3 linked regions of the Rhinolophus ferrumequinum genome follow. The protein of the gene in region 3 interacts with the protein of the main gene of each other region in a biochemical or structural test. Links are inferred from orthologs where the notes say so. Each region holds a gene or a part of one and is shown on either strand. Other genes may lie near its edges.

The links. The genes of interacting proteins can lie anywhere in the genome.
Region 1: the proteins of CUL3 (region 3) and DCUN1D3 form a complex in vitro, tested with the Homo sapiens proteins (3 studies listed by BioGRID, with this or other methods). The link is inferred for Rhinolophus ferrumequinum from reciprocal best matches to the Homo sapiens genes CUL3 and DCUN1D3.
Region 2: the proteins of CUL3 (region 3) and UBE2M form a complex in vitro, tested with the Homo sapiens proteins (2 studies listed by BioGRID, with this or other methods). The link is inferred for Rhinolophus ferrumequinum from reciprocal best matches to the Homo sapiens genes CUL3 and UBE2M.

What each region holds. Positions count from the first base shown.
Region 1 is NW_022680357.1:16,190,686-16,198,032, forward strand, and holds the start of DCUN1D3 (DCN1-like protein 3), read right to left. Parts: upstream 3,007-7,347; 5' UTR 1,708-3,006; intron 1-1,707. Other genes in the region: LYRM1 (LYR motif-containing protein 1), read left to right, coding at 4,528-4,686. UniProt on the Homo sapiens protein: Contributes to the neddylation of all cullins by transferring NEDD8 from N-terminally acetylated NEDD8-conjugating E2s enzyme to different cullin C-terminal domain-RBX complexes and may play a role in the cell cycle progression by regulating the SCF ubiquitin E3 ligase complex, after UV damage.
Region 2 is NC_046298.1:50,990,707-50,998,145, forward strand, and holds the start of UBE2M (NEDD8-conjugating enzyme Ubc12), read right to left. Parts: upstream 3,007-7,439; 5' UTR 2,500-3,006; coding exon 2,391-2,499; intron 1,336-2,390; coding exon 1,241-1,335; intron 1,117-1,240; coding exon 1,078-1,116; intron 964-1,077; coding exon 860-963; intron 560-859; coding exon 496-559; intron 412-495; coding exon 271-411; 3' UTR 1-270. Other genes in the region: MZF1 (myeloid zinc finger 1), read right to left, coding at 5,762-7,308.
Region 3 is NC_046291.1:12,007,686-12,015,435, reverse strand, and holds the start of CUL3 (cullin-3), read right to left. Parts: upstream 3,020-7,750; 5' UTR 2,590-3,019; coding exon 2,524-2,589; intron 1-2,523. UniProt on the Homo sapiens protein: Core component of multiple cullin-RING-based BCR (BTB-CUL3-RBX1) E3 ubiquitin-protein ligase complexes which mediate the ubiquitination and subsequent proteasomal degradation of target proteins.

The sequences.
Region 1 (7,347 bases), on a different chromosome or scaffold from region 3:
TCCCACCTCACAGCCTTTGTTCCTGCTGACCCCTCTTCCGATACCACCTCACCGACCTCTTAACTCTCCTTTCTAGCATTCAGCACTGGCTCGAATGTCACTGACTACCCACAATCAAATAACCGCTCCCTCTGCTCATATATACTGACTGGTTCATTCCGAGAGCACATATATCTACCAGAAATTGTTCTTCTTGTGTGTCGTCTGCCTCTGCCACGAGCATATAAACTTTAGGAGGCAGGGACCATGGCTGCTTGGTTATCACTTTCCCCAGAACTGCCTGTGCCCAGCCTCTGGGGTGAACTGACTAAATAAATGCTGACTGCATGAATGGATGGATGGATGGATAGGTGTTTGGGAGGGAAGTGTCCATGTAAGAAACGTCCAAACCTGTAGAAATTTTATGTAAGACATTGAGGGTAATTTCTGGGGAGCAAGATAAATGGAGAGGGACAGTTTTGCAGTTTTCTTTCATGCATTTGGAATTAAGGAGGGAACAAAGGAAGATGACGGAGGTGGGAGAAACCGAGGCAGGGATTGGGAGAAAGCAAGGCGGGGACTGGGAGAAAGCAAGGCAGGGACTGGGAGAAAGCAAGGCGGGGACTGGGAGAAAGCAAGGCGGGGACTGGGAGAAAGCAAGGCGGGGACTGGACTACAGGGTAGTTAACAAGATCAGGTGCTCTCTTGAGGGTGGTCCCACTTATGTCAAAGGTGTGTTGCACAAAACGAGATGCACAGAAACAATGGACAGGGCTGCTTACGGCAAAGATAAGCCTCTCACTAAAGAAGTTACAGGCCTGGGGGGTGACTCCCCACCCTGACCTGCCCGGCTGGGAGTTGATGCTCGGGTCTCCCTGGGAGGTTACTGGCCACGGGACCCCTTTTTGGTCCCAGCTGGAGTCTGGCCTGCAGGCTGGCAGCCCTGTAATGAGGCCTGCTGTCCCTTCTGTGATGTCAGCTCCCTTTGGAGTGTTGGGGACAGGTTGCTGTGGGGAGGGAAGGGCAGAGCAGCCCCCCAAATGCACAGCCTCCTTTGAAGGGGCTGCTGGTGTGCAATGAATGATGGAAGGAGGGCAACAGCGGCACTCGTTGAGCACCAGTGCCAAGAAGTCAGCAGTAAATAAGGTGCGTGTGGTTCCTGTCCACAAGGTGCGAGGCTCGGGGAAGACGGACACTAACAACCCATTACTTGCGTGGTCAAGTGCTACAAGAAATACAAGGGCCGCGGAAGGGCTCAACTGAGAGACCTGACTTGATGCACGTGGTGAGGGCAGCAGGGAGCGGGAAAGGCTTTTCTGAGACCTCCATGTTTTCATTGGTAACTGAAGGCTGCAAGGGAGCCAAGAGAGCCTTCTAGAAAGAGGGAACAGATGGGATGTACCCCTACGGTAAGAGAACATGATTCCTTCTCTCTGAGACCTGAAGGATTCCAATAAGAAAAGAACAAAAGCATCTTTTTCCTGGCTTTGCGCAGAGTTGGGAAGAAGTGTGGTTGGCTAGGCCTGTTAGTAGTACATCATGGGAACAGAGCTTCAGACCCCCTCCCCCTGGAAATCTTCAGGATTTAGGTTTTCTGGGTCACCTGATGTTGGAGAGGGAGACATCACTTATCTCCCTTTCAGGATTACTTCTCCAAACATGTAAACGTTAATTAAAGTGTTTTGAAAATAGGCCTATTAAGTACCAATTGTTAGTTCTGCTTGTTACCTTGAGTGCCCTAATTACAGGGCTTGTGTATCCGATTATGGTATATGATCAGCTACAATCTGAAGCGGAGGTTCTAAGAGTAGAAGGAAACCAATTAAAGTCCGACTTTGCAGAAGGTTGCTGCTGTTTTCACAGGCCAGACCTCCTTCACTCCTCACCAGTGCCATGCAGTCCGGGCAGTTTCGTCTGTTAATGACAGAGAAGTGAGGCAATCGTTAATACAAGTTAGTTACAGACTCCCTGCCCCTCACAGGAACTGACTCACGTATTTTCAGATGAAACCATGGAATTCTAGAGAGAGCCAGAAACTCAGAAACCTGTTTCCTTACCAGGAAAATGTCATCATCTCATGTGGGTTTTTATTAACGATGAACCACAAAACATGCGGTTGTCTTGGTTTTTATGAATTCCTTTTAAGCATTTTCTCTGAAGCATCCTGGCCATCAGAATTGGTGTTGGAGGTTAAGCTTAGTCCTGTCGACTTTTGAACTGGGGGAACTAGTGCTTTCAAGCTTATCATCAAATGGTTAAGCCTTGGTTCATTCCTTATTGCTCAAGAAAAGTCACCAGGGTCAGGAGAAGTAGGAGGGACAGTCATATTCGAAAGAGGAATTCTCTGTCAGGCAGTTTCCTTGCAGCAACTTAGAATTTCTATTAGGTCAGTGCAAAAGTAATTGCGGTTCGTGCAATTATTTTTAATCTTTTAAACCGCAATTACTTTTGCACCAACCTAACAGATAAACACACCTCCTTACAGCTCCCATCTGTATTCTTTAGCTGCTCGAATTCTCAGGAACTCAGGACAAAATCTCCTGAAGCGTACAGTCTCCATGTGTTGGCCCTCCCGCTCGGGTTGGAAATGGGTCGCGCTCCCAAAGGGCAGTGAGCACCTACCTCCAGATCCTGAGGAGCCTGTTTGAGGAAAACCCAGGATTCCCGGGGAGGGTCCCCATGCCTGGCCCGGCCCTGCTGCTCACTCACTGCATGTGCCCGGGTCCTCCCGGCCTGCCCATCTGTTAAAGGCAGTACAGGATTCGTTCTCCTAAATCTGACCAATCAGAATCCTCCCGTAGTGGGGCTTTTTCACTTTCCGGGATTTCTTGTAGAAGTAAGTAGTAAAGAAACAGGCTAACGTTGTTGCGTAAGTAAAAGAAAAGGGAAACCCCTAATGTCCATCAGCAGAAGAATACATGAGATACCTTCAGACAGTGTGGGCTGAATTGCAGTAGTGAGAACCCATGAACTGGAGCTGTGTGTAACCACATGGATGAACCTTACCGTGTTTCCCCGAAAATAAGACCTAGCCAGACCATCAGCTCTAATGCATCTTTTGGAGCAAAAATTAATATAATCTGCCCTGGTCCGGGAGGACCCGGTATTTATATTATATTATATTATATTATATTATATTATATTATACCTGGTCTTATATTAAAATAAGACCCGGTCTTATATTAATTTTTGTTTCAAAAGACGCCTTAGAGCTGATAGTCCAGCTAGGTCTTATTTTTGGGGAAACAGTACAAATATGGGCAAAAAGAAGTTGCAGAAAGGCAATACCTTTTATAAAGTTCTTTTAAAGTTGCTAAGCAATACTATATAATGTGAAATGTAAAGACGTGTGAGAAAGATATATTCAGGATAGCAGTTCCTTCTAGGAGAGAGGAAGAGGAATTCGATTTGGAAAAGGTACAGTGGGGGTTTCAACTGTATATATAATTTATTCCCTAAGGTCCATTGTGAATGTATGGCTGTTAATTATTCTCTATATCTTTTTGTGTATCTGAGGTATTTCATAATGAAAATAAAAATAACAGGAATTTAATTTATAAAAATACAGTTAGCTTTATGGAACATACTTCGGTCAGGAACTTGGCCAAGTCCTCTGAAATGAAAGCTGATGTTTCAGCGTGCAAACCCAGAGGGGCCACAGATCTTCAGCCATCACAAAGACTTCCAGTTATACTTACTACACAGTTCTCATGTGCACAAGGCAGTGAACTGACAGTTTTGCAAAATATTTTCAACGAGGCTATGCTGAACTAAGAGGCTGCAACCTGACGCCCTCTGGGAGGACCTTAGCCTGCAGACACATTTTCTTTGGGCTTCATCGTACTCACATTTTCAAAAATGAATTTGTGTCTTTTTTGAGATTTTATATTTTAAAAATCTGGACTGCCACCTATTGTGAAGCTATCATGAAATCTGGCACCCTTAGGCCCTCACTTCTACATGGCAGCGGCTGGCGGGGGCTGAGTAGCGACTGTCCCCTTTTAAGGGGGCATGTCCTCTCCAGTTGGCCAGTGTCCCCACCCAGTCAAATTCCCTCATTTTGTTACCTGCCAGACCCTGGAGGAACGTGAGTTTGCAACCTGCATTAATTTCAAGTTCTCACTTAACTAGAAAATTCAGTTATTCAACACATGCCTTTTCCTAGACACTCAGGTTAGGGATATAATTTTACCAGAATACACACGAAAAGCATCCTTCCTAAGAATTTACCGGTTCAAAGAACAGTACATGTGTGCTTTGGTTTTGTTTTGCCATGTTTGTAAAAGTGGCCATCATGGCAAACAGTACAGTGGAGCAGCTCAACCGTGAGGTGATACACGAGGCCGCCAAGGGATAGCTGGTATTCGTACACGGCCATGCGGCAATGCTGCCAAACGGATTTGCTGAGAAGGCAGTTATCTGTGCCTTCTAATTAAAGAGCTTGATTTAAAAAAAAAAAAAAAAAAAAAAGGTGCATCTGGCTAGCTGCCTATTGTCACGGTGAATTTTTATGCACATTTTCCCTCTTCTATTTTGGTGGGTCTGAAGATGACAACAGCAACGCGACAGGAAGTTCTTGGCCTCTACCGCCGAATTTTCAGGCTTGCGAGGAAATGGCAGGCGTCGTCAGGACAGATGGAAGACACCATTAAAGAAAAAGAGTACATATTAAATGAAGCCAGAACACTGTTCCAGAAAAACAAAAATGTAAGTAGGCCTCAGCTGGAGAGCGAGAGGAGAGCAGTGTCTTGCATTTGTTCATTTCTTGTCTGTCCCAAATGGAGAGGACGGAGCAGCGTGAGTCACAGTGGCAGAGTCTGGGCAGGAAGGGAAGGAGCCGGAGGCCCAGCTGATGGGAAGCAGAGCCCGGCCCAGGGCTCTCTCTTCACTCATTTCAGGTCTTGGTCCAGCCAGCAAGTGGCTGTGTCCCCAGGAGACCCCACGAGCCAGGTGACAGGAGTGAGGCCAGTGAGAGTTGCCAGGGGAGGCGCAGTTCGTCACATGATGTGCTGTCGCCGGACACTGCCACAGGAGGTGCGCAGGTCAATTTTGGTTTTCAATTTATAAACTATTCAAAGCCTCCAAGTCCAAACCCATTCAGAGGGAAGAGATTAGGATGAAGACACAGGCCTGCCTCATACTTAGCTGTGAACTGCAGCCTCTTTGGCTAGCACAGTGCGTCTGCCCTTTGGGACCAGAGAATTGGGTAAACTAGTGCTCCCATGAACTGGTTTAATGGAACTGCACACCCAGACACCAGGGAGCCAAACACCATTTCTGAGAGGCTCGGTGTGACTCATCCCGGTAAACCATCAAGCATTAGCTGTCAGCTCTTTGGAAGCCTGCCTGGCAACTCGCACGGAAAGAGGCTTTCAGCCCCTGGCTTTCCTTGCCCCCTTCTCATTGATCTCATGGATTCAATGCTGTCACTGTTCCCCTCGTGAAACTTCCTGACAATCCACTCTCTCTACTTTTTCCTCTCTGACCCGTCTCTGTCTCCTTTTTGGCCCTGTCTTCTCTCCACACCCTCCTGCCAGCTGTGGGGTCCTCTGAGGGTCAACCCTCTGCGCCGAGGCCCCAGGGGCAGACAGCCACCTTCTGGCTCCAGCTCCCAAATCGGGACACCCAGCCTTGGCTTTTCACCAGCCGTCTGAGGACCCCGTACCCCAAGACAGAGCTCGTCTTCCCACAAGAAGGCGTCCCCTTCCCAACTTGCCTATTTCTGTCACCATGCCTGCCACTGCTCTGCAATGCTCTGCTCTCATTGTTTCACTCCACAGGTATCTGAGCGCCCACCGTACGCCCAACACCTTGGGAATATAAAATGAGCAAAAGCAGCACGGTCCCTCAAAGGTATTTCAGAGTTAGATGGAAAGAAACGTAAAATTAGAGTTGGGATAAGTGCTACAAAAGACCCCCACCCTCGCAACCCGAACCCCAGCACCTCTGCCTTCTTGGGATCCCTGAAGGCTCCCCGCTGTACGAGGGCCACCCTGCTTGGGAAGCGGCTCTGACTCTCCCCCAGACAGGCCATACCTGCGTGCAGGGACCTTACACAGCCCTCGGAGGACTGGAAATAGGTCCTGCAAGTGCGGTTTCTGTTTCTATTGCATCCTTTAAAAATGTCTGTTTTGTCTATATTTATAATGACATTAGTACACTTACTGAACGTATACGTACAAATCAATATAAATACATATATGGATCTGTGGCCTGAGAAATATTTATTGAAAGGAGTAGGTGATCAAAAAGTTTGCAGACCACTGACCTATACCTACCCCTGAGGAGCTGGTCATACTTTTTCCTTGTCTGTTTCATGTATGTCGTGTGGTCTCCCCGACCCGCCTGTCAGTTCCTCAGGCTCAGACAATGTCTTATTTGATAGCGTATCCCTTGGGTCCTGCCTTGTGGTTGTCATAAATGACCGAGCATTGGATTCAATTGACCTTCTCCAGGAAGCCTCCCACGCTGCTCTGTCCTCACCTGATCCCGTCGTGAGCCCTGTCCTGAACTCCTGTGGAGCAGCCTGCAGCAGTGCCTGCGCTTGTGGATTTTATACCACTGGGCCCTTTCTGTAGCTTCATGTGTCAGTTGTTCTGCCAGGTAATAAGGCAGGGACGGTGGCCTCACAATGGCCAGCGTCCTGCTGGGGATGTCACAGGAGGACGTGCCCACCCGAGGACTGCTCACGACGCCCTGGGGTTTTCTTATGGCTCATCATTCCTTCCTTGGCCTCTGCTCGCCTTGGCTCAGTGTGCTGCGAGCCAGGAGGAGGCGTGTGTGCTGCTGATGGTACATGAGTGAGATAGTGGGGGCTACATGACCTTTAGTTGGAAGTTCTGTGCTTTGTTTACCGTGTGTTAGAAAGAAAAGAGTATCCGGCAATTTCCCAAATACTATGCTCACAAGAGAGTCCATTTAAAGAAAACGTTGAATGTTAATATAGGTGGTATGTAGATGTGGCAAAACCATGCAGGCAGCCTCTGAATGACTGGACTTGGGAGAACTGTACCCCACACTTGTTCAGGGGGACAGCTGGAGCCCCAGGAGCCCTCAGCGCCTTAAGCATAGCTTATCGGGGCTTCTTTCTCCCTGCTCCCTCATGCAGACACAAGTAGGTTCCTATAACCTCACTTGCAATAAGAGCTTGATGATCATCCAGAGGTGTCTTGTGTATCGCTCTGAATCCTCAGGGGCCAACCAGAAGGGCTGGGGACATCTGTTCCCGAGGTGGACACCAGAGCTACAGCTTCTGAGAAGCACGAAGGTCAGAAAGCTGGGCCTCTGCCCCGAGGGACGCAGCTGGGGTTCTGTGCATTGCACTTCCTGGAACTTTCCTCTGCTCCAGAGGTGCCGCCACAGGACACG
Region 2 (7,439 bases), on a different chromosome or scaffold from region 3:
GGGGGTTGGACGGCACCCAGCGGGGGGCTAGACAAGCCAATTCATTTCCCATCGCTGAGCAGGTCGGGGGAAGACAGAACCGACCTTAATCACACGGTGGTTAAAAAAAAAAAATAATAACTAGGAGTGGGTGGTAGAGAGAGGAGGCAAGGCCAGGGCACAGGATCTCCCCCCACTTGCTGCCCCATGCTCCCCACCTGTGGGCCCCAATAAATATTTGCAGGGGATGCCGGGGCTGTTGGCCCTGGCAGGGGTGGGTACGCGCCAACCCTATTTCAGGCAGCGCTCGAAGTAGGTGGAGCCGATGTAACCACCTCGCATGGAGCGCTGCACATTCTGCTCAAACAGCCGCCGGTTGTTCTGCAGGACCTCAGCGGCCTCCTTGTTCAGTGGGTCTTCGGGGTTGGGCTCCTGTGGCCAGTATGGGCAGGGGTCAACATGCCCAAGGGGCAGACAACCAACCTCCCCAAAGCCTACCCATCCAGCCCTACTCACCAAGAAGAGATACTGCAGGCCATAAATTATGGAGTTTATCGTAAGGACTGGCTTCCAGTCCTCTCTGTGGACAGAGAGCATCAGGTTCAGGGACTGGTGAGTGTGTGGCTGCCACACGCCCTGCTGGAACTGGTCATGTCAGGCCCATGGTGTGGGACAGTGCGGATGTGAGAGGCTAGGGGGAGGGTGCAGAGTAGGCCAGGCCAGGGAGAAAGCCAAGGTCTAGCCATGAGGAAGAAAACATGGAGATGAAGAGATAGAGGGACACAGACCACAGGAGGAGGGAAGGGCCACTGGTTCAGTGCAAAGCAATGAGGGGGGCCTGATAGGGCTGGGTAGAGCAGTGGAGGGCCAGCGCCCTCACCTGAGGATGTTGAGGCAGACGTTGCCCTCGAGGTCAATGTTGGGATGATAGACCATCGTCTCACACTTCACCTTGGGGGGGTCATGCGGGTAACCCTGGCCCACCTGGCTCCAGGAAAAGAGAGGGGGAAGTGGATAGGTACCCAGGCAGTGCTTGGTTGGGGCTTCATCTGTTGCCTCCTCAGCCCAGGGAGCCATCCCTACCCACCTGGAACTCACCTTAAAACTGAACACAAACTTCCCACTCTTGTAGAAGCCCTGTGAGGAAAGAGAAAAAGGTGTTAGGGCCCCATCCTGCAGGGCCTGACAGGTGAACCAGGTCTCCCTACTTGGGAACCAGCCCCTGGACTGTGCCTGGGTGTCCAGCTGAGTGTATCCTCACCTCATCAGGACAGATAACCAGCTTGAAGTTGAGGAGATCGTCGGGATCTGAAAAGCTGATGTCACACGTTTTGGGCAGGTTTAGCTCGTTTATGTCTGGATTTGCACAGCAGAGAAAGGGAACAAAGAGGGAAGAGTGAGAGAGGAGCGTGCTCAGAACAGGTACAGGTGCCAGCAGAGCCCCTATGGCTTCATCCAAGACTCCCAGGGCTGTCCTGGGCTGTGCCCCACATCCCCAACTCTCTCCTTGCTCTTTCTGCTCCCCAGTCTCCAAGCAGGATCTTCTGGGTCCAAAACAACACCCCAAATATGCATCTTCAGTTGTGGCTGTGCCCTAGCTCTCGGCCCAGAATAAACTCTAGACTCTTCTGAATACACCGCTCCCAAGTGGCCCCCAAGAGTCTCTGATAACCCCAAACCCCAGGATACCCAGCCATGACCTCCAACTTTCTAGTGGACCCTGCTTGTCCCCACCTGTCCACCCAAACTCAAGCACCCTGGCACCTCCATACTCTAAATCATCCCCTCACCAGTCCCAGGTCTCCAGCATCTCTCCTCTGCCTGTCATCCCAAACCCATGTTCCTATCTGACCCCCAGACCTGTGAGTCCCCAGCCTCACTCTCCCTGGCACCCACTATCCCTCCCTCCTCTACCTGTCACCCCAAACCCCAAATTGCCATATGATGACCCCCAGTCCGTCTCTACCCCATCTGACTCCCAGATTCCCAGTGACTCCAGCATAATATACGAAATCCTCTCCCACTCTTATCCCCAATCGGTGGCTCCCACTATCCCCATCTCCTTTGCTTGTCATTCAGGTTCCTGTTTGACCCCCCCCCGACTCTCAGTCCCCCGCCCCCTACCACCCCCCCCCACCGCCTGACCCTCAGATTCCCGGTCCCCAATACCAGACGCCTGCCTGGCTTTCCAACTATCCTAACTGCCCCATCCTGTGCCCCGCTTCTCTGATCCCTTTTACCCCGGTGACTGCATTACCCCACGCGATTCCCCCATCACCCCACCTCAGGGCCTGACCACCGACCCCCCACATCCATGGCCTCCAATCTGACATCGCTGACCCTGGGGGGAACATTATCCAACTCCTCGTTCCCTCATAACCCGACCCCAGGCTCTGACCCCCGACCCCTACCCTTCTGGATCCGCAGCTGCGCCGCCGACGCCTTCTTGCTGCTGCCCTTGGTGCCGCCCGCCGACTCCTCCTCCTTCTTCTGCTGCTTCAGCGAGAACAGCTTGATCATCCTGCCGCCGCCGCCGCCGCCGCCGCCGCCGCCGCGGGGCCCGGGACCCCGGCCACACGGCCGCCCGCCGCTGCCCGCGCCACTCGGACCCGCCGCCGCGGCCTTCTCCGCTGCTGCCGCGGCCCGTCCGGCCTGCCGCGCCGCTCCGCGCCCACCGCGCGTCCCGCGTCGGCTCCCGTAGTCCAGCTCCGGCCTGCCCCGGCGCCTCGGGCTCGCTCGGCGGTGCTCGAGCAGACTCGGCTCTCCTCCGAACTGTTCGGCCCCGCCCCCACCCGGCCGCTCCCTCCGCCTCCTCGCCCGCTCAGGTCTCGGGCCCAGCTGCGTCTGCGGCTGCGGGCTGTCTGGGACGCGCCGCCGGCTCGCTCACTCGCTCCTTCGCGAAGGGGTTGCGGCAAGGGGTGGAAGGAGGCGGAGGCGGTGTATAGGAGTCTCGGCAGCAGCGGCTTTGGCGCGGAAGTCCGCAACTGCCTCGGGCGCCCTACCACTTCGGCTATTTCCGCCGCCTTCCCGCTTCGGCTCTTCGAGCCCGGCCTGCCCTGTGCGCCTGCGCAACCACCGCCGCCGTCCCCGCCTCACGTTGCTCAGCGATGGGGCATAGGGTTCGGGCTTTTTCGGCTGGGCTCGAGTATTTTCGCTTGTCTAGGCGTCTCGTGGTCACTTCCGGAGACGCTCGCGGATACAGGCCAGGGGCGGTGTCGCCGCCATCTTTAAGTGGGGCAGATGCGGGCTGCTTCGCTCGCTCTCGGCCCATTCCCACTTGCACTAGTGCGGACCGCGGCGGGGGTGGGTCAAATGGGGTTTTTTCCCGGAGGTCACAGACAGGGGCATGGTGATCGCTGCGGGCCAGATCCCAGGGCGAGGCCAGGGGAGTTTCCCAGCGAGTGCGGAGTCTAGTACCCTCGTGTTCTATCTTAAATCCAATCAAAGAACCCGCTCGGGGAGATTCTAGTCGAGGTAAACTAACAAAATGTATTGTGCCAGAGTGGTCAGCACCCTGGAGGGTAATGCGGGTGGACACTCGGGTGGGGGTCGTTCTCGGCGCCTGTCATGAGCTCCGGCGGGGGCGCAGGAGGAACTTAAGCCGCCTGCAGGGGCGCTGTGGGCGGGGCCAGCCTCCCCTCAATCACAGCTCAGCCTGTCCCAAGGGTTCTGCAACTTCCGGCTGTCACCGCGGAAACCGTGAGGTGGGTCAGGATTGGCGTCACGAGGGTTGGCCAGCACCCGGGTGGACCAGTGGGGGCAGCCAGGGCTCTGCAGCTCAGCCCTTCCGGGTCCGAAGGCGGCTTCCGCGGCACGTTCCCGTCTGTCTCTGAAACAACTTGCCGTCCCCTCCCGGAGTATTGTGGGAGACATGGTCCCGGCGGTCCAGTTGGGGCCACGCTACGGTCGGCCAAGTTCCTCTCGGCCGCCTGCCCTGGCCCAGGCCCGTGGCCCTCACCTTGGCCCCATCCCCCATCCTCACCTCAAGGAGTCGCCTCCACCTCATCGCACCTTGGTCTGACGTCTATCCCGGTCCCAGCCTCCGCGGAGGCTCTGCCGTGAGTGTCGGTCACCCTTAGCGTCCTTGGTCTCCGTGGACTGATCCCAGCTGTATTTCTGTAATCGCTCCCCCTTTCGGCCCTTCCATTCTCAATGCCACCAACCCAGATGCCCCCTTCAACCCCCTGGTTGTACCAGCCTCACACTCCCAGCATCGTTTCTTGACTCCCGTGACAACTGAGTGCTGGAGGGGAGCCAGGGGCTAAGGATGGGGGCTCAAACCTCAAACAGCTCAGGTTTGGGGCTAATTGCAACCGTCCCAGCGTTCTCAAGGTTCAGACATAGTTGGTCCTGAGACTCAGAGGTCCCCTCCAGACTCGAGCTCTCCCTTTAACCCTTCCTCTCTGTTGTTCTTAGCTGTTCTGCTCTTGATTATTTTCATAAACGCTATTTCCACATTAGGGTTGATGACCATCACGCTGTTTCCAGCCAAAGTTTCAAGGGGGAAGTTTCTATTGGCCAACCTGACCCAGGTGTTCATCCTCAGGCCAGTTGCTGAGGCCCATCAGCTGATGGCCCATCTGGGGATAGGATATTGGTTCCCTGGAGAAGTGACACTGGACTAGGCAAAGCTAGACTTCTGTGGTCTCTAACATCGTGGCTTCCCCACGGTGCAGTGGGACTCAACCATGCCAGCTATGCGAGGCCCTTGGGTCGGGCATGGCCAGACTGAAGTAGAGGGGCGGGTTGGAAGTGGTGCATCTGTGTGTTCCTTCTCACCCTCATAGCCACCCAAGTGGTCGCGGGGCACAGGTGGTTTGGGTGTCAAGAATTCCTGTAGGCCATGGGCCTGCAGCCTTTTGGGAGGCACAGGGCTTGCCACGTGTAAAGGCCCTGAGGGAAGCTGGCGTCAGAGCCCTGCAGGGAGGAGGCAAAACGTGACGGGCAAGGAGTGAGGTGTTAGGCTAGCCTCTGGGAACTGACGCTGGGAAGATAGTGTCCATTTTTTAAAGGAGGGGCAGGAACCGGCAGGGAGGCTGAGTGCTGTGGACCTCCAGGCTGGAGATGGGTGGCTGGGATCAGAGCAGTGCTTCGGAGTGGACAGAAGTGGACAGATTTGGAAAGCTGGGGTTGGGGTGAGAATAACTGGGTTTATATTGCATGGGGAGGCTGGGCTTGGGAGAATGAGGTAAAGTCCTGAAAGAATGTGGATTTCCAGATAAATCCTTCCAGCCTTTACACCTAAGAAATGTCTTCCTAGGTTTCAAGTTTTACAAACACACATCCTAGGCCGGCTGTGGCCTGCTGTGCACGTTTGCTACTTATACTGCATGTGATAATCTTGGCTGGCTGGGGAGAACTGGGCCAGTCCAGGTCCACGCCTGGCAGCTGGCTTGATGTGGATGTGTGAGTCGAAGGCATCTTGGGCAAACAGTACAAGAGCCATGGTATAGGGGGCACCCCGCTAGGACAGACAAGGACAGCTGCTGCTAGGAGCCACCTCTGCAGGGGGACATGGCTCTCCTAGGGTTGCAGTGGAAGTGGTGGATGGGTGGGGTGGCAGGGGGACCCACGCAGGTGGGGAGGCACTGTGTGTGTGAAGACCCAGACCCAGGGTTCCTTCTACTGTTTATTGAGCACCTACTGGGGGGGTCAGGCCCTAGGTGGACCTGCTTCTATGTATGCGATCGCAGGCACAGCAACCCTGTGAGGTAGGTGTTCTGTCCTGCTAATCCCACGCACAGCATGGAGGTGGATGCAGACGGGGTGCACTGACCACTGGCTACTCCATGCTGTGGACGCGCTGGTGCTGGATGAGCTTGGTGCTCTGGTGGAAGCGACGGCCACAGTCCTGGCAAGCGAAAGGCTTCTCACGCCGGTGGGTGCGCAGGTGTTGCGTGAGCGTGGGTCGCTGGCGGAAGGCCTTGCCGCACTCGGGGCACGCGTAGGGGCGCTCGCCTGTGTGGATGCGCCGGTGCTGCGTGAGGTTGGCGTGCTGCCGGAAACTCTGGCCGCACTCCGGGCAGGTGAAGGGCCGCTCGCCGGTGTGGATGCGCTGGTGCTCCGTGAGCCGCGAGACCTGTGTAAAGCCCAGCCCACACTCGCTGCAGTGGTAGGGCTTCTCCCCGGTGTGTGTCCGCTGGTGGCGCGTGAGCTTGAGACGCTGGCTGAAGCGCTGGCCGCAGTCGGGGCAGGCAAAGGGCTTCTCGCCCGTGTGCACGCGCAGGTGCTGCGTGAGCGTAGGCCGCTGGCGGAAGGCCTTGCCGCACTCCGCGCAGGCGAAGGGCCGCTCGCCCGTATGGATGCGCCGGTGCTGTGTAAGGTTGGAGCGCTGACGGAAGCTCTGGCCGCACTCGTTGCAGGCGAAGGGCCGCTCGCCGCTGTGCACGCGCCGGTGCTGCAGCAGCACCGAGCGGCGGCCGAAGCGCTCACCACATTCCACGCAGCCGAAGGATTTGTCCCCCGTGTGCACGGCCTGGTGCTCCAGCAGCACGGCGCGCCGCGCGAAGCTCTCGCGGCACTCACTGCACGGGAAGGGGCCTGGTGGCTCGGGCACACTGGGAGGCGCGGGGGGCCCAGCACCTGGGCCAGGAGGGTCGCCGTGGACGCGCTGGTGCTGCAGCAAGTTGGAGCGCTGCCGGAAGCTCTGGCCGCATTCAGCGCAGTGGAAAGGCTGCTCGCCCGTGTGCACGCGCCTGTGCTCCTCCAGGCGCGCGCTGCGCACGAAGCCCTGGCCGCATTCGTCGCACACAAAGGGCCGCTCCTCTGTGTGAGTGAGCTGGTGGCGCAGCAGGTGCGAGCTGCGGCTGAAGCTGCGGCCGCACTCGCCACACACGAACGGTCGTTCTCCCGTGTGTATTTTCTGGTGCCGCAGCAGGTTACTACGTTGGCTGAACACCTTCCCACACACGTCGCAACGGCCACCTCGCACTGCCCCGGCGCCTGTGCTCGGGCGGCCCCGGCCCCGGCCCCGTCCCCGGCTCCTACCCCTGGGGGTGTGCCAGCGGGCAGTGGCCAGTATGTGGCCCATGCCTTGGCAGGGATCCTCGTCCATGGGGTCCTGCTCACCTCCCGGGTCGCTGGGGAGCACGAGCGCATGTGAGAAGCCACCTTCTCGGGAGGGTGACCGGAGTTGACCCGTGAGGCTGGACACACCGAGGTTCCAGGGGATGTGTAGGTGGGGGTTCATAGTGCCTGAGCCAGCAGAGACACTGTCCATCTGGAGCGCAAAGCCTGCATTGCACAAGGGGATCCACTCCTTCATGACAGAATCCACTGTGCCCAGACCACTCCAGCCCTGGGAGAAGTGAGAACTAGAGGGACCTGAAACTGACCAAGGAGGTGACAGAGCATGAAGAGGGAGACTGAGAAGCTGGGGACAAGCTTTCCAAGTCTGACTTAAGTTTGCAAAAATCGCCATCCTGGAAGGGCTGTAGTGCAAAGGTGGGGCAGGTGGCCCT
Region 3 (7,750 bases):
AGACCTTGTTTAAACTATAATTTCCCTTAAATTATAGTAACTATATAACCAAATGGTACTGTAAAAATACAATATTTGTAAGTATGTACATACATACACAATATTTTTTATTTATGGAATACTGCGTATTTACTACTTCTGACTAGCAATCTATGTAGATTATAGTTATGTAAAAGATCACTAACGTGGAGAAAGGAAAAATTTAGAAGGTCTGCAAGAACTCAAACATTTACCATGGGAAATACCGTACTTCTGAGGCATGTATTTATCTTTAATGAAGGCTCAAGGAAGTATGACTTAAAAATTTATACATTAAAAAATGTACTGGTTCACTGAGAACTACTTATGAATGATATTAACAATAATGATATAATAAAAAGTCTTATGCTTTTAAAAATTAGCCTATATTAACTACTAAATATCAAACACTAGTCACAAGGATTTTAGAAAAACGTTATCAGGCAACAAGTTTGAGACAGAAAGGATCCAAATTAGCGTATAATCATATTGCTATTTAAAAAAAAAATTCAGTTTCAGTACTATGTCCTAACCTATCTCATATTATCTCCTCAGCTAAAGGAATAATGAAATTCTCTCTCACCACTTCTTCCCAACAATACAAAATCCAGAAAGCAGGGATCCTGGTCTTTCAAGCTATACTGCTATACCCCAAACCCCTAGAACAGAGCCTGGTACACAGTACTCAGTATTTGTTGAATGAATGAAGGAAGGAAGGAATGTGAAAACAGGTAGGAACAGGCAAACTACAAAGATCAAAGAGCTGACAATACATAAAGGTATAACTGGTTAATCAGAATATTAACATAAATGAGTTGATGTCAAATGTGAGCTATTCCACATTTTAGTAATAATCTGAATCATTAGAACTCAGACCCCAAGAATAGCAAACTCATCCTAGAAAACTTGTAGAAAATTAAATACTGAATTCTAAATTTTGCCAAAAATGGTCAGATCTGATTTTGTAGGAAAAACTAACCTCACAAATTCATAAACCCAGTTCACTGTTCCATTCTAAGAGAAAACACGCTAGTGGACTTCATTAGTGGTCTTTTGTCAACATTTCTTACTTTCTCTGTAGTTTCTCATTTACTTAGGGGAAAAAATTTTAAAACTTCAAAATCCCTTTAATCACTATCAAAATACTTAATTCTGCTGAGTCTATCCTACCTTTATTTACATAAAACCGGAAGTTTCCACACACTGACATTAGTACTTCTGTTATTACAATTTCAGAACTCTGCATCACATGTATTTTTTTAAGTTTTAAGAATTCAGAGAGGTCAAGTTCCTTGGGTGGGTTTCTTACTCAACTAGGACGATTATATTAATAAAGTGTATCTTCACTGCAAACTACACTTTAGAAAAAGCATGCTTCAAGGAGTACAAACCCTCCTCCCCCTTTCCTTCCTCACAAGGTATGTTTGATTCTAAGAAAGAAAATCCAAGATCTTTCTCTAGTTTTACTGTTTTAAAACAAAATCTTCTGTTCAATTACTAGTTTGTCTATCCTGACATATACTCGTTACTGTAGCGACATGAGCAAGTATGTCCAGTTTCTGTTACAACAGTATATTTTAATTGCTTGCCACTGCCTACCTGCATCAGATTTGACATCCAAAGTTATACCATATACACTACACACCGCAAGCGTATGACTCAACGTAATGCTAAAAAGAAAGTTTCTACACAGAATATGTCTGCTGTCACTAAAACCGATAGAGAAAAGGAACTCAGGGTGGTGACTACTCGTTCTTTTGGGGTTCTACGACTAAGAAATTGAGAACCAACTGTCCAATGTGTTCTCCCTTGCTTCTCCTGACCCTCCTACGGGTGGGGAGGCAATTCCTGCACAAGAGAATGTGTAAGTGCTTTGAAAGCTTGTGGATGAGAGATGCCGTAAATACACTTGATGGTATTAGTGCATTACTGTGAGCATTACGTGGAACCACTGTCACTGTGTCGGGGGTAGGTTGATGGCATAACCCTCCCTGAGAATGGGACGAGAGAACATAGTCTTCATCATCATCCGAAATGTTTGTCTTTTAGGCCGGGTTATTTTGTTAAACCGCAGCGAAACCACACGTGAAAAGTTACACGCAGGCCCCATACAAGGAGGACTTCGCCAGTCCCCATCCCCGCAGAACTGGGAGTCTCTGGAACCCAGCGAGGAGAGGAGTGCTAGGGGTTGGGCCTACACCCCAGTAACGTGAGGAGGTGCTGGGACCCGCGATGCGGCCCCGGCCGTAGCCGACGCCCGCGGAGCGCCTGGAGGCGCAGCTCTGGGCGGGGGCGCGGCGCCGGGCACCGGGAACGGCCCGGGAGGGCGGCCGCGCAGGGGCCCCGCGCCGCCCCGTTGCCTGGGAGGCTCGCGCCCCGCGGTCGGCGGCGTGGGGGAGGGGAGGACGGGCCTGCGGCCTGTTGGGGGACTTCAGCCCCGGCCTCGCGTGCGGCTCTCGGGCGGGCCCCCGGCCCCGGGGTCCCGAGTGCCGAGTAGAGACTCACCGGAAAGGCCCGGATCCGCATCTTGGTGTCCTTCCGGCTGCCCGTGCCTTTGCTCAGATTCGACATGGTGCTCGTCCCCTCCCCAGCGGCGGCTTCGGGTCGCACCCCGAGGCGCCGGTGTCACATTTAAGGCGGGCGGGCAGGCGAGGGGCGACGCTGGGGGCGGCGGTGCGGCCCCCGGGGTGGGCTGAGGAGCTGGCCGGCCCCTGGGCAGCCGCGGCGGGGACGGCGGCGGCTCAGGCTCCGGCGGCTGGGGCTTGGCTGGGGAACTGCGCTGGCGCGGTGGCTCCGCGGGGTCCCCCCTCACGCCCGGCTCGGCTCGGCTCCCTTTATCGCGCTCCTCCGCGATGGCGGCGGCGGCGGCGACGGACAAACATCTCACTGCGCAGGCCGAACGTCCTCCTCCTCCTTCTCCTCCTCCGCCTCAGCGAGACGAGATCCGGCCCAGAGGGTGGAGGGGGGAGGAAGGAGGGAGGAGAGCCTGAGAGTGGAGAGATTGGGGGGAGGGGGGTGGGAGGACGGGAGGGGGAGGTGGCTGGCCGCGGCGGGGGGGGGACGCTCAGATCTCGCGAGAACAAGGCGAGCGCGCACTCCCAGGTAAGGCGGGGCGAAGCCCGGCAGCGGAGGGGGCAACGCGAGGAGAGAAGGGGAACGAGGAGTTGGGGAAGTGGGAGGGGCCAACTGGGCGGGGAGGTGCGAAAGGGGAGGGGCTGAGGGCGAGAGGAGTAGGCTTCCTTTTTGAAAGGGGAGCGTCGGAGACCGGTTCTGGTCAGAGGTGGTTGATGATTGGTGGAGCGCGGAGCAGGGTCGGGGGTCCTGGTCACGTGGACCGAGTGGGCGGGGGAAATTCTGATAGGCAGAGCGGGATTGTAGTGGGCTGGTTCGGTCTGGACTGGGCTGGGCTAGGGTGGGGGCTGGGGCTGGGGCTGGGGCCGGAGGACAGTCTCGGGGAGGAGCGTGAGGTGCCAGGTGAGTAACTACGTTCTAGAACTGGTTCCTGTGGTTTTCTAGGGCATGTGGACTAGGGATGAGTACTTAAGCAGAAGCTAGAAAGTTGAAAGAAGTTTGTGCAGGAGTCACCTGCAGAGTCAGGAGTTAGGGTCCTGTATGCTTAAGAAGATACTCGGATTGGATGTGCACACCCCAACTCGCAGGCCTGAGAGGTGGAGATTTTAGACCATAAAGTTTCCTTAAACTGAAGAAGAAGCTCCAGGATGTCTTGAATCCCTGATATTTTTTGAGGGACCCAGGACTTCAAAGTGTTAAAATTTCTTTTTCGATACCATTGAAATAAAATGACAACTCCCTTAATGTAGTGCAGTATTTTGGTGCATGGTGTTAAATAGAAGATAGAATATTAGGTTGGTGCAAAAGTAATTGCGGTTTAAAACGTTAAAAAATATGTATACATTGCAAAAACCGCAATTACTTTTGCACCAACCTAATAGAAGCTACCTTTCACCTACCTAATCATTTTTACCACTACCAAGAGTGTTGTAGGTTTTGAAAGCCAAAATTATTGTCTTTGATTCAGTTTGCTGCAAATTTGGAATTTTTTATTTTCATTATAGTCAAAAGGTCTAGTGTGATTCATTAGTTTTGAATTTTACTTTCTAATTTACCTCTTGGTCCAATTGATGTTATATTGGGATTTCTGATGCTGCAGAGAAATATGTATGTGAGTTCCCAATAAAATTTGTGATTTTTGCATTTTAAATAAGAACCTACTGTTGGGATGGGTATCTACATTTGGAAGCTGGGGTTTTAATACTTTTATGTAGCATTTGGAAGTTGGGAATGTTATATTTTTTAATAACTAAACTGAAATATACTTTTCTATTTGTTGACAATAAGGTTGAATTTGCCCTAAATTAACTTAATCCTGATGACTAAATTTGAGTGTGTGCTTTCATCCCCTACTTGATTGAAATGCCCCATTTTGGAAATATATTTTCTTGTTTTGTTTTTTTTTGGTATTTGCTAATCAAAACACAACGTTAAGAAATGAGGATGTAGCTGGAAAAAAAAGTCTGTGTAAACACCGAAGCTAAAAATAGGTCATCAAGAACTGGGTTGATAAGGTAAGAATGGGTGGAGCTCAGATTTAAACGTAAGATAACATGAGTCTTGGATAGAAGTTTATAATCTGTATGCTAATTGAGCCTGTATTTCCATAATCATTAGAAAATAACAACCAATGTTTTTCTATTGACGGTACTGTCCTGTGGCCCAGTTTCTTTGTAATGTAAGAATATACATACATGTTCTGGACCCATTGGTTTGATTCCTAGCTCTATCACTTTACTACCTCTATTATGTATCTTTTGGGGTAAGGCTTTGACTGTTTATACCTGGAGTTCCTCATCTGTAAAAAGGGGATAATAATAATACTTCCTCCTGGGACTACTATGAAATTTAAATGATTTAATACATTTTTAAAAGCTGAGAGCAGTGCTCAGGACAGAGTGGCCACTCAACACCTGTTGGCTGTTATCATGGGCCAAGGCCAAGGTTACACTACCGTGTTTCCCCGAAAATAAGATCTATCCCGAAAATAAGCCCCGGTTAAGATTGTCAGCCAGAAGGACGCATTCAACACGTTGTGACAATGTTCCAGAAGAAGATGACATGACTGTATTTGAATAAATGTAGATTGTTGTACATGAAAAAATAAGACATCCCCTGAAAATATGCCCTAATGCGTCTTTTGGAGCAAAAGTTAAGAGCTGGTCTTATTTTTGGGGAAATACGGTATCTTCCTTTATTCAATATGTAAGTTTATTAAAAAAAAAAAAAAGAAAGCTTTCATGCTTTTATAAAATGAATTTTATTTTAAAAATGAGCCAGTCTCCAACACCTGGATTTCACAAAACAATAATATATTTTTTGGCAAGTAAGGGCATTAAAAAGGAATAACTAGCATTAAACTGGGTCCATTATCTTTTTTTTTTTTTTAAGTATTTTAACTGCATAAGTGGGGGAAGGTCAATTTTTGAATAAAGGACAGTTTCTTAAATTGATTAATTTAAGCTTGTGAGGAACAATATACTGAGCTGGTATTTCTCATTTCACTGTGAATGTGAGAAAACATCATGGGCTTACATTTAGGAACTCCCTGCATTAAAGCATGTTTCCATATAATTGTGATGCACATAATCACCCTTTAATTAATTTCTTTCCTGAGCTCAGATTTTCATGTTGGTTTTGCTTAAGCAAAATTTAACTGCATTTTAAAAGAATCACTATCAACTATGTCTTCCGTTAGGCTTTAACCACAAAGACCCAGAAAAACTCTTCAAAATGAATTTGTCTGCCACTGCCATTAAGAAACCTACTGCTCATTTATTTGTTCAGTTATTCCTTCATTTATTCAAGAAATATTTATTTAATGACTGCTATATGTCAGGCTCTCAGTGAATAAGACAGATAAGACCTGCCATCGCAGAACATATACCGTATTTCCCCGAAATTAGGACTTAGCCAGACAATCAGCTCTAATGCGTCTTTTGGAGCAAAATTTAATATAAGACCCGGTCTTATATAGTAATATAACATGTTATGTTATAGTAAATGTTATGTCTTATGTTATAGTAAAATAAGACCGGGTCTTATATTAATTTTTGCTCCAAAAGACGCATTAGAGCTGATTGTCTGGCTGTCTTTTTTTCAGGGAAACATGGGAGTTCCTTTTCACATCTCAAATTTTGGAACCACAGACCCAAGTTGGATGTGGCAATAACTTCCTATGCACTCCAGTCCAGAAATCAGATTTTTTTCTTCCTAGGAAAACCAGCATCCTCAAAATGTATACAAAATACTCTCTAAAGCAGCAGTAGACTATTCTATGCCCAGTGGTATTCCCTGACTTGCAAATAGCAAATTAACTGTCAGGATATTAGTTTTTCTGCCAAATGCCACCTGATCTAGCAGAGAAAGCAGTGTTGGAATAGGAACTCACTAGATGTTGCATGTCTGCTGGTTAGTATTCCTACTTATGCTGACAGAGTCCTGACACAGGAGAACAGTAACCACATTTCCATTTATTTGTATGGAGCACGTGCAGTCAAAGCTGGGAGGCTGGGTGAGACAGCCCCTTCTCTACATCTCAGTCTAGAAATGGACAGCACGGACTATGAGAAGCCAGTGAAAGGGAATAGCCTCTTGGCCATGAGTTTCTAGGTATCCAGGATACCAAGCCACTTTAATCACTGTATCAGACCTGCTGACTTGATTGTGCTGATATTGGTTATTAAAACAGCTGACAGTCTACCAATTCAATTAGAAAGACCTGTTCAATGGTTTTGAATGGACAAAGACCGAGTTAGGGAAAACTATATTTTCAAATTGGAAGGGGAACATTTATAGATATTATCACTTATTGGAAAGTAAGGGCTAGGTCTTCTACTTTCTTTCTATAATACAAATATGTATTGTAGGCCATTAGATTTGTACATATTTAGAACAGTAGAATTTGTATGTGATTTATAAGATGACGTGTTGGAAGAGTATCCCATTGAAATATAACCACAGACACTTACTTATATGAAAACTGTCTGTCTTCTCCATACCCCTTTTCTAGTTTGTCCTTACTGTTTTCCCTACATATATCATCAAGACAAGAAGCATCTAAAACATATGAGGATATGATACAAAGTTACATCTTGAATTAAAGAAAAATCTTAAAATGTCTCTTATAAAAACCCATCTCAATTTTTCATCATATTATCATGCTAAATAAAAGCATCTCACTGGCAGCTCTGGAAATTTCCTAGTTGGCCTGGACAGTATTCTGTTTATTCCACATTTATCCAGTAAATTAATATTTTGGAAAAAAAAATATTTATATATACAACCAACTAACCTAATTTAGCAGAACATAAATCCTCAATTGAAAATTATAGGCATTGCATCCATGTAATTTTATTTTGATGAAAAAGAATTTCCTCTTATTGGTAACAGCAACTGTATCAAGAAATCTCCAGGGGACAATTACGAATATGTATTGCTTTCATTTGAGACAAAGAAAGTATATGTTGACATTTATAAGTCATCATCTCTGTCTTTGTGAAGTAAGCTAATTTTGGAGTTGAGATAGAGCACAGATTCAAAGAGCTATAAAAGTAAATAGTCTAAACTTTACGCTAGATTTAATAATTATGTGAATTATAAATACAGCAGTCAACAAATGTAAAAAATAGCGTTATCTTAAATGTCTTCAATAAGCTAT